Neurospora crassa OR74A: one gene and its partner. The protein of the gene in region 1 purifies or fractionates together with the protein of each later gene. This does not show direct contact. Links are inferred from orthologs where the notes say so. Each region holds a gene or a part of one and is shown on either strand. Other genes may lie near its edges.

What was found. The genes of interacting proteins can lie anywhere in the genome.
Region 2: the proteins of pp2A (region 1) and NCU00488 purify together in Saccharomyces cerevisiae (affinity purification with mass spectrometry; 5 studies listed by BioGRID, with this or other methods). This does not show direct contact. The link is inferred for Neurospora crassa OR74A from reciprocal best matches to the Saccharomyces cerevisiae genes PPG1 and TPD3.

The regions. Positions count from the first base shown.
Region 1 is NC_026504.1:1,636,557-1,640,405, reverse strand, and holds pp2A (serine/threonine-protein phosphatase PP2A catalytic subunit), read left to right. Parts: upstream 1-1,220; 5' UTR 1,221-1,728; coding exon 1,729-1,744; intron 1,745-1,919; coding exon 1,920-2,153; intron 2,154-2,268; coding exon 2,269-2,523; intron 2,524-2,589; coding exon 2,590-3,047; 3' UTR 3,048-3,335; downstream 3,336-3,849. UniProt on the Saccharomyces cerevisiae protein: Involved in glycogen accumulation.
Region 2 is NC_026503.1:4,029,584-4,033,597, forward strand, and holds the start of NCU00488 (protein phosphatase PP2A regulatory subunit A), read right to left. Parts: upstream 2,831-4,014; 5' UTR 2,106-2,830; coding exon 2,040-2,105; intron 1,950-2,039; coding exon 1,844-1,949; intron 1,733-1,843; coding exon 1,581-1,732; intron 1,513-1,580; coding exon 1,021-1,512; intron 953-1,020; coding exon 693-952; intron 636-692; coding exon 197-635; intron 138-196; coding exon 1-137. Other genes in the region: NCU11185 (protein phosphatase), read right to left, coding at 3,462-4,014. UniProt on the Saccharomyces cerevisiae protein: Phosphatase 2A affects a variety of biological processes in the cell such as transcription, cell cycle progression and cellular morphogenesis, and provides an initial identification of critical substrates for this phosphatase.

The sequences.
Region 1 (3,849 bases):
GGGGGTCATATAGTAAACATGGGGGATAAGAGGCCCATTCTGAGAGCTAAAATGAGGAAATGAAACGTGTTACCTTTGAACCTTCCCGTCCCCAATCTCCCGGGTGGCAGAGAAGTTGGTCCGAGTAAGGGATTGCCAATGTTGACTGTGATCGACCTCAATAAAGATGATCGCATCGAAAGCCCTCAACTGCGTCCTCGATAAAAGCCCGTAGAGGACATGACCAAGACATGTTGCGATGATATCGCGCAAGATGTCCCGTCATGATTCCCATACACCGTCCCATCGTTGGCTGCCTCGGTGGACAGCAAGACCATGAATGCCTTCCTCCCTGTGACCAGATACTACTCGTCGATCAACTCCTGAACTGCAATCCAAGGCAGCCAACTCTGGGGCTCGATGAGCTTCGAGCTTGAACGCCAGTGAAAGAGTAGGCATATGAAGCATAAAAAAAAGAAATAACCTCGGGCTCAGTCCAACCGAGGCCTCGCCAGAGAGGACAGGGACAACGCTTTGAAAGGCAGTGAAGCCTCAGACTACGCCAGAAAGCAACACTGGACTTTGGCGTCTTGGTCCTGGGAATCTGGCCAGCAATCAATAGACAGAATGAACAGAAAAAGCAGAAAAAGCCATCAGATACAAAGTGTGGACCGAAAAGCCCGGAACTATTGGCAGAAGAGCGCCGAATCAAACCAATGTGTCCGTTGACACAGCTGAAGGATGGGAAAGTGAGTTCGCCGAGATATCTTCAGAGGTGGCCGCGGACGCAGCAAAGCAGCAGAAGCGCAAGAGAGAGGAGCAGGGAAAGGAATTTGTGAGGGTCCAAGTTGGAAGAGAGGAGGGAGACCGCTGGCTTTTGTATGAACCGGTTACCAAGTGGGGCACAAGCACCCAGTCCCTTCCAGCACGTGTGAGGCCGTGAGTGATGGGGAGCCGGGGATTCAGGGCGTCAAGAACCTGGGCCGCTGGGCGAGCTGCCGCACGGGCCTTTTCAGTGACGGGCCGGGATGACGGGCGGTTTCCCAGCTGTCTGCAGTGCTTTCCACTCATGTTGCCAGCTGAGTGTCGAGGAACCGTCAACACTCAGCGCAGCTGGCCCGAATGAGGGCACGTCACCTCGTCAGCAGCAGCAGCCCACCTGGGGCACCTCCAGGGCACTGCAGAAGGGAGGGCAGGTGCAGCGCGTCGAGCCTCCTTGGATTCGCTAGGAAGGAAAGGCTTCAGCACTCGGGATTGCGCTTCTCCCTCGGCTTCCTCAGTCAGCAACAAAAACACACGTCGCCTTCATTTCCACCTCAGTACAGACTGTACAGTACCAAATTCAGATGGAAAGTTGTATTCCTGCTAGGCCGCTTGCGACTGCTCTCTCAGAATCCGTATAGCACATTTCTTCCCTCCCAACTTTCAGTTTTGATTTTTTTTTCTAAAGCAAACTGAAGCTGAGCTGTCCCATCACCAAGTGACTGGAGGATTGCGCTCCGTCGTCTGCTGAAGCTCTTTTGCCCCGTTCGATGTGACAATAACCACCTCTTCGAACATGTTGATTCGCATCTATCCAACCACCACCACTGACATCGCTCGAGCTGGGAGAAGCACTACCAGCCTTTACCGCAACTCGTGATTGCTGAGCCTGTCGACACAACACTACCAACTGCAAAACGTGTCTAAGTTGTGTTTTTAGCGCCGTTCCATTGATCCTACTACACGAGAGCATCATCTCTGCCCGTCATGCCTGGCCTTCCCCGTAAGTTGGTCCATTGCACCCTTTGCGCCACCAACGTTGAAAAGCAGCGGACAAGGCCATGCCCCTCCTCTTCTTGCCCATCCCACGCCCCGCCAAAAAAGACACCGACAAACCCCCAACATAAATTCAACGGCGCAGACATACCACAACCACTGACATGTGACGTGCCGAATAGCTTCGGTCGACCTCGACGAGTGTATCTCACGCCTCTACAAAAAGGAACTACTCGCTGAATCGGTTATCGAAGCGATATGCGCCAAAACAAAAGAGCTGCTAATGCGCGAGAGCAATGTCGTGCATGTTCGCGCCCCCGTTACGGTTGTCGGTGACATCCACGGCCAGTTCTATGATTTGATAGAGATATTCAGGATCGGTGGCTACTGTCCAGACACGAATTATCTATTTCTAGGTGGGTGGTGATCTTGGTGGTGGTGATGGAAGCAAGACGCGGGCGGCGCGTGCCCTCCATGCGGGTGCTGTGCTAAAATGACGACGTTTGACTAACCTTGGGAGAAAAACAACAGGCGACTATGTCGACCGAGGCATGTTCAGCGTCGAAACGATTTCTCTTCTTGTTTGTTTAAAACTGAGATACCCCAACCGCGTCCATTTGATTCGAGGCAACCACGAGTCCCGCGGCGTAACGCAGTCTTACGGCTTTTATACCGAGTGCTCGCGCAAGTACGGCAATGCCAATGTCTGGCATTACTTTACCGACATGTTCGATTTCCTCACATTAAGTGTGGTCATCAACGACCAAATATTCTGTGTACACGGAGGTAAGATACCCCCTTTCTGGGCGCCAGGTGTACAAGCTAGTTGCTAAACCTCTTCTTCCGCGCCAGGTCTCTCCCCTTCGATTCACTCTATCGACCAAATTAAAGTAATCGACCGCTTCCGCGAGATTCCCCACGAAGGCCCCATGGCCGACCTAGTATGGTCCGATCCCGATCCCGACCGCGACGAGTTCAGTTTATCACCCCGCGGCGCTGGCTACACTTTCGGAGCGCAGGTGGTTAAGAAGTTCCTGGCGGTGAACAACATGAACCACATTCTGCGCGCGCACCAGCTCTGTCAGGAAGGGTATCAGGTGCTATACGACGACCGGCTGAGCACGGTATGGAGCGCGCCCAACTACTGCTACCGGTGCGGAAACATGGCAAGTGTCTTGGAGGTCAGCGATACTGGAGAGCGCTTCTTCAATGTGTTTGCGGCCGCTCCTGAGAACGACGCCGTTAAGGATCAGCAGATGAATCAGGACAAGTCGGCGGAGGGGGGCGCATTGCCGGATTACTTTTTGTAATAGTCGGCGAGAGACGGGAAACCCCCCTACATGGTGCGCACTCGGGGCGAATGGGGATAGAGGACGGGAACAGAGAGCATGAGCGTTGCGGATGGTCTTGGCTTGAACTTGTTCGCACCAAAGAGTGTGAATACACTGCATATACCCACGCTAGCGACCGCAATGTCATAGATTAGAAGCAGGCATGAATGATAGAGGTACTCGGGACAGTTTTTTTTTTTTCTTCTCCTCTACTAACAAGTAAGCCCTCCCGATCTTCTTCATAGCAGATAAGAGAAACCGCAAGACCTGAATTGCGTATGTGAGAGTTATGTGTGTTTATACTACTAAGATAAGATGATGTGTATGTATGTAGATAAATGTAAGGAAGTTTTCTCCTCTTCCCCTTCCCTCCTGCCCGGAAAGGGGGGCGTATACCCTAAACGACCAAACCATCCTGTGGCCCAGATTCCGTTCCGTTCCGTTCGCTTGCCTTTCCAGTCCCATACCTAGATAAGGTGAAACAGACGTCGGTGTGTTTCTACCTTCCTTTCCCTTGTCGAGTTCCGGTAGTGTAGTGTATCTTTCTCCCTGTTTCGTGATCTTCGAAACAGGGAGGAAGCGCGTGTTTAGTCTTCTTTCCCCACTCAGCATGATTAATTCCATCTTCATCCTCTATCGAGTTCGCTCCTCGTTCGCGAATGGCGCATCCCTCTTTGCCCACGAAATCAACCGAGGGCACAGCAGTTCGTCACAGTATGCCAACAGCGAAGTGTATGTGTGTGTGTATCCGATGCGGCTGACTAGCTGGACTGAGTGACCG
Region 2 (4,014 bases), on another chromosome or scaffold:
CGCAGAACACCGATGATGATGCCATATGTCTTTGCGACGTTAAAGCGAATATTGGGGATCGAATCGGCTGTGAGCTTTTCCAGCATCGGAAGGATGGACTTGGCAATCACATCCAGACTGACAACGGTAGCCAGGGTCTGTAAACACTAGTCAGACAGGGACTTCACTGATTTTCGTATGCCATTGAGTCTCTTACCGTGATAGCAAAGCAAGTGGTCATCCGGTAAAGGTAGTTGGGGTGGGCACCCATAGCCATAACCTTGGGAATAATAGCCTCGCTTGCCCACTCAACACCAAACACCTCGGTCAGCTTCCTTAGGTTTTGAGTAGCGGCCTCACGAATGGAGAAAACAGTATCTCCGAGCCAGCCCATGCAAAGCTGGCTGAGCTTCTCGTCAAAAAACTTGACGCCCAGCTGGCTGGCAAGAAGCGGGATGTAGTCGATAATAGCCAAGCGTACACGCCACTGCTTATCTTCGGCTAGCTGTACAATGGCCGGAAGGAGAGACTGAGAAAGGAGGTCGATGCCGATAACTTGGTTCACAAGCTCCAGTTTGCTGATGATGTGAAGGCGAACCTCTGGGAACTCGTCCTTGAGCATCTGAAGGAACATGGGCAGAAGATGATCAATAGTCCTTGTGCAATAATTAGCATACGCATCAAAGAAACCGTGTCTGACTGCGGGAACGTACTCTTGCTTGCCCAAGATAGGAGCGAGGCCGCTGATTTGTGTGCCAAGGGCAGCTCTGACATGCTGGGAGCTATCCGAGACGAGATCCTCAACACTTCCCATGATGTCATTCAGGAGAACGTTGCGGTCAACCAAAGCACAGAAGCCAGGGATCTGGCCGGCGATGGCAGTCCGCACCTCAGCCTCGTTATCTTTCAGGAGTTTTACGAATGCAGGAACAAGATCTCTGGACACAACCTCATCATCAACCGCCTTCGCAATCTGTATGTGCTGTTAGTCATCCAAGAATTGATATGAGGGGAGGCCAAGTGCTTAGCGCGACCACGAACCTTCTCAAATCTGTCGGCGATCATATAGCGGACCCTCCAACTCTTGTCCTCTATCAAGCTGCGTAGCGATGTGAGGAGCACGGTGTGGCTGGCTTGTTGCTCTTTGGGCACAACCTCCGCAATAGAGATCAAAATCTCGACTGTAAGGAGTCTGACGCTGTCCTGGTCGTCCTGGGCGAGGTGTTGGAACATGGGTATCATTTCCTCGATAACGATGGGAGCCGGCATCTCCTTCACGAACTTGGCCATGTTGGTGGCGGCCTGACGGCGCACCATGGGGGTCTCATCGTGGACGAGCTGTCCAAACTGCTGGCGCAATTGTTCTTGAATAGGCGGCGAAACTTTCGAGTAGGGGGTTGTATACAGGCCGCATGCGGAAACCTTGGACGTAAACCAGTCGGCCTTGGAGAGGCGAATCGTAAGAGGGATAAAGTATTCTTCAACTTGCTGCGAAGAGAGTTGAGTGCAGATCTTGTTCAATGATTCGACAGCCTAAAACGTTTGTCAGTACACATGCGGGTCGCATGACAAGAAGCCAGGAAATGGTCACGTATCCGTACCTTGTCTCGCACCACGGGCTCCTCGATAGCAGCGAGGTTCTCAAGGGGGGAAAGAAGGACATGTCCCCATGCGGGGCCCCCCACGTACTCGACAAAGTTACCAAGCTCTTCACTCAGGGCAACGAGGACCTCATCTTCATCTTCAACCGATTCTGCATTCAGAAGTGTCAGCAGCCGTATCTCAAGAGTCCCAGCGGCTGTGTAGCCAGAGGCCGGCGCAGGTGGGTTTGCTAGGCTGAAGCTGGGTCGAAGGGTTGGCTAACCATCGAGAAAGGGAATCAGCTCCTCGCGAGTGCGCTCGGGACCCAAAGCAAGGGCGATAGTCGAAAGACGGTGGATGGCGTTTAATCGGAGGACGACCTCGTCGTGCTGCCCAAAGTCAATCAGGGTTTACAGTCCATCAACCAGACAAGAAGGGATAGTCAGGGGTTCTGGCCGTCCGGGTCACCGCCATCATACCTTCAATTCGTCGATTAGCACGGCGATGGGGAAGAGCTCGTCGTTCGCGTTCGTCGCGTCGGCCATTGTGGGCGATTTGTGAAGTGGACGCGGAAGATCGCGGGGGAGTATACAGTCGGCGAGCGAGGCGGATTTGGACAAACTGGTTGACTTGGTACGGATGTTCGCTTGCGGGCGTGATGCAATAGACGGGGGGGTGTGGACTGGACTGGTAGCCGGTCGGGCGACGCTGTGCGGCGGCGGTACCAGTGACTGTGATTGTGGTAGAGAGAGGAAAGTGGATGCGTGCGTGTGCGCAACTTGGTAACTGCGTTGCTTGGGCGGGCAGCTAGGTAGGTAGGTAGGTTTGTTGTATTTAGGTTGGTTTTGGTTGCTTGGTTGAAAAAGAAAAAGCAAGAGTGACGCTTCGTCGGGTCGAAATCGGAATTGGATGCGATCTCTCAGCAGTAAGGTAGTTTCGCACACGGCGCCACGACACGGCGGGCAGCAAGCAGGCAAAGAAGGAATGATACTGGACGGTTTTGCTTGATAATAGGTAAGGGTTGCTTGATGGAGGGTTGACGGTGGTTCCTGTTCGGGGGGAGGACTCACCTACACCTAGAGGTGGAGATCGGAGCGAGCTTGGTGGTCCCCGCAGGGCCGCAACAAGGAGGAGCAGCAACAGCAGCAGCCAGGGCAGCAGGGCAGCAGGGCAGCACTTAAGGTCGCCTAACCAACGGCGGGACACAGCTGGACCCGGTCTTCGACACAAATTGACCTGACGCGCAAAGCTGGGGTCCAGTTCATGACGGGGGCCGGGCGGACAAGGGTGAGAACTGAGAAGGAGCACTGGCCACTCGCCATTTCAGCTTGGGACGTAGCCGCCCGTTCCCGTCGTAGGGGTGGCCCCTCAAGGCGCACCGGGCACCACTTACGTAGGTACCTACTTGCTGCACCACGAGAGTTAGGTAGGTAGGTACCTCTATCAATGAACCACTTCTTTCGCTTCCAACTCGCGACGTAAGCCGCTCTTTCTGTTCAACTTACATTTCTTCGTGAGGTCAGGTTGTTGGAAAACACTGCAGACTGACATAAAAAGGAGGTGCTACAGCTCCGGAAGAATGGCAACAGCCATCAAGATGCAAGAAGGGGAGAATGTTTAACACCAACTAACTGCCTTGTTACAGCCTAAGGTGAGTTGTTACAACATCACGTATTCCAATTCTGACTCACTAAAACATCATCACATGTTAATACTGATACTGGTTTGGGAATGTATGCTGTTCATATTTTGCTGTCTTATAAAGTCAGGCATTACTGCAACTAAAGCATCGCTAACCTTGCTTCATCAGGGAGCATGCTGTTCCAACGTGCTATTCTCATAACGGGAACCAATTGCCCACATATTATTCTACTCTTTCTCCAACATTCTTCACCACTCATCTAACTCATACTCTTCATCTCCTGCTCCGCCAGTTCGTTTTGCGAATTCCGCCCGGAATCAGAGCCAGATCCTCCAATCGAACTTCGCCCTGTGCTCCCACCGGTGCCGCCGCCAAACATAGCCTTTCCAAGCGACAATCCGGAAATCCTCTCCTGAAGAGCTGCAAAAGTGCCCGTAGGATCTCCAGCGGCGACATTCCGGTTTGGTGGCGCCGGACTTCTAGTCCCGGGCGTCAGAACCTCGTGGGCCGACTCCACGCCTGCATGCACGGACCCTCCGGCCGCGGTAGCTGCCAAGCCCGGCGGCAGCGGGCTCCGGGTGGGGCTTACCGATGTCCGCGATGGGGCGCCGGACGATGGTGGGTTGCTGTTCACATCAATCGTACCCGCATCGACAGGCCTTGAAAGCTCTGATGACGACGAAGCTTGCTGATACGCAGCAACACGCTCTGCTGTTGCGGCCAAGGCATTGAGGTCGCCATTCATCTCATCATCCGTCCGGTTGAAGAGTTGGTGCCACCACCGCACGTCGTCGCAGCGAGGGAATAGTATA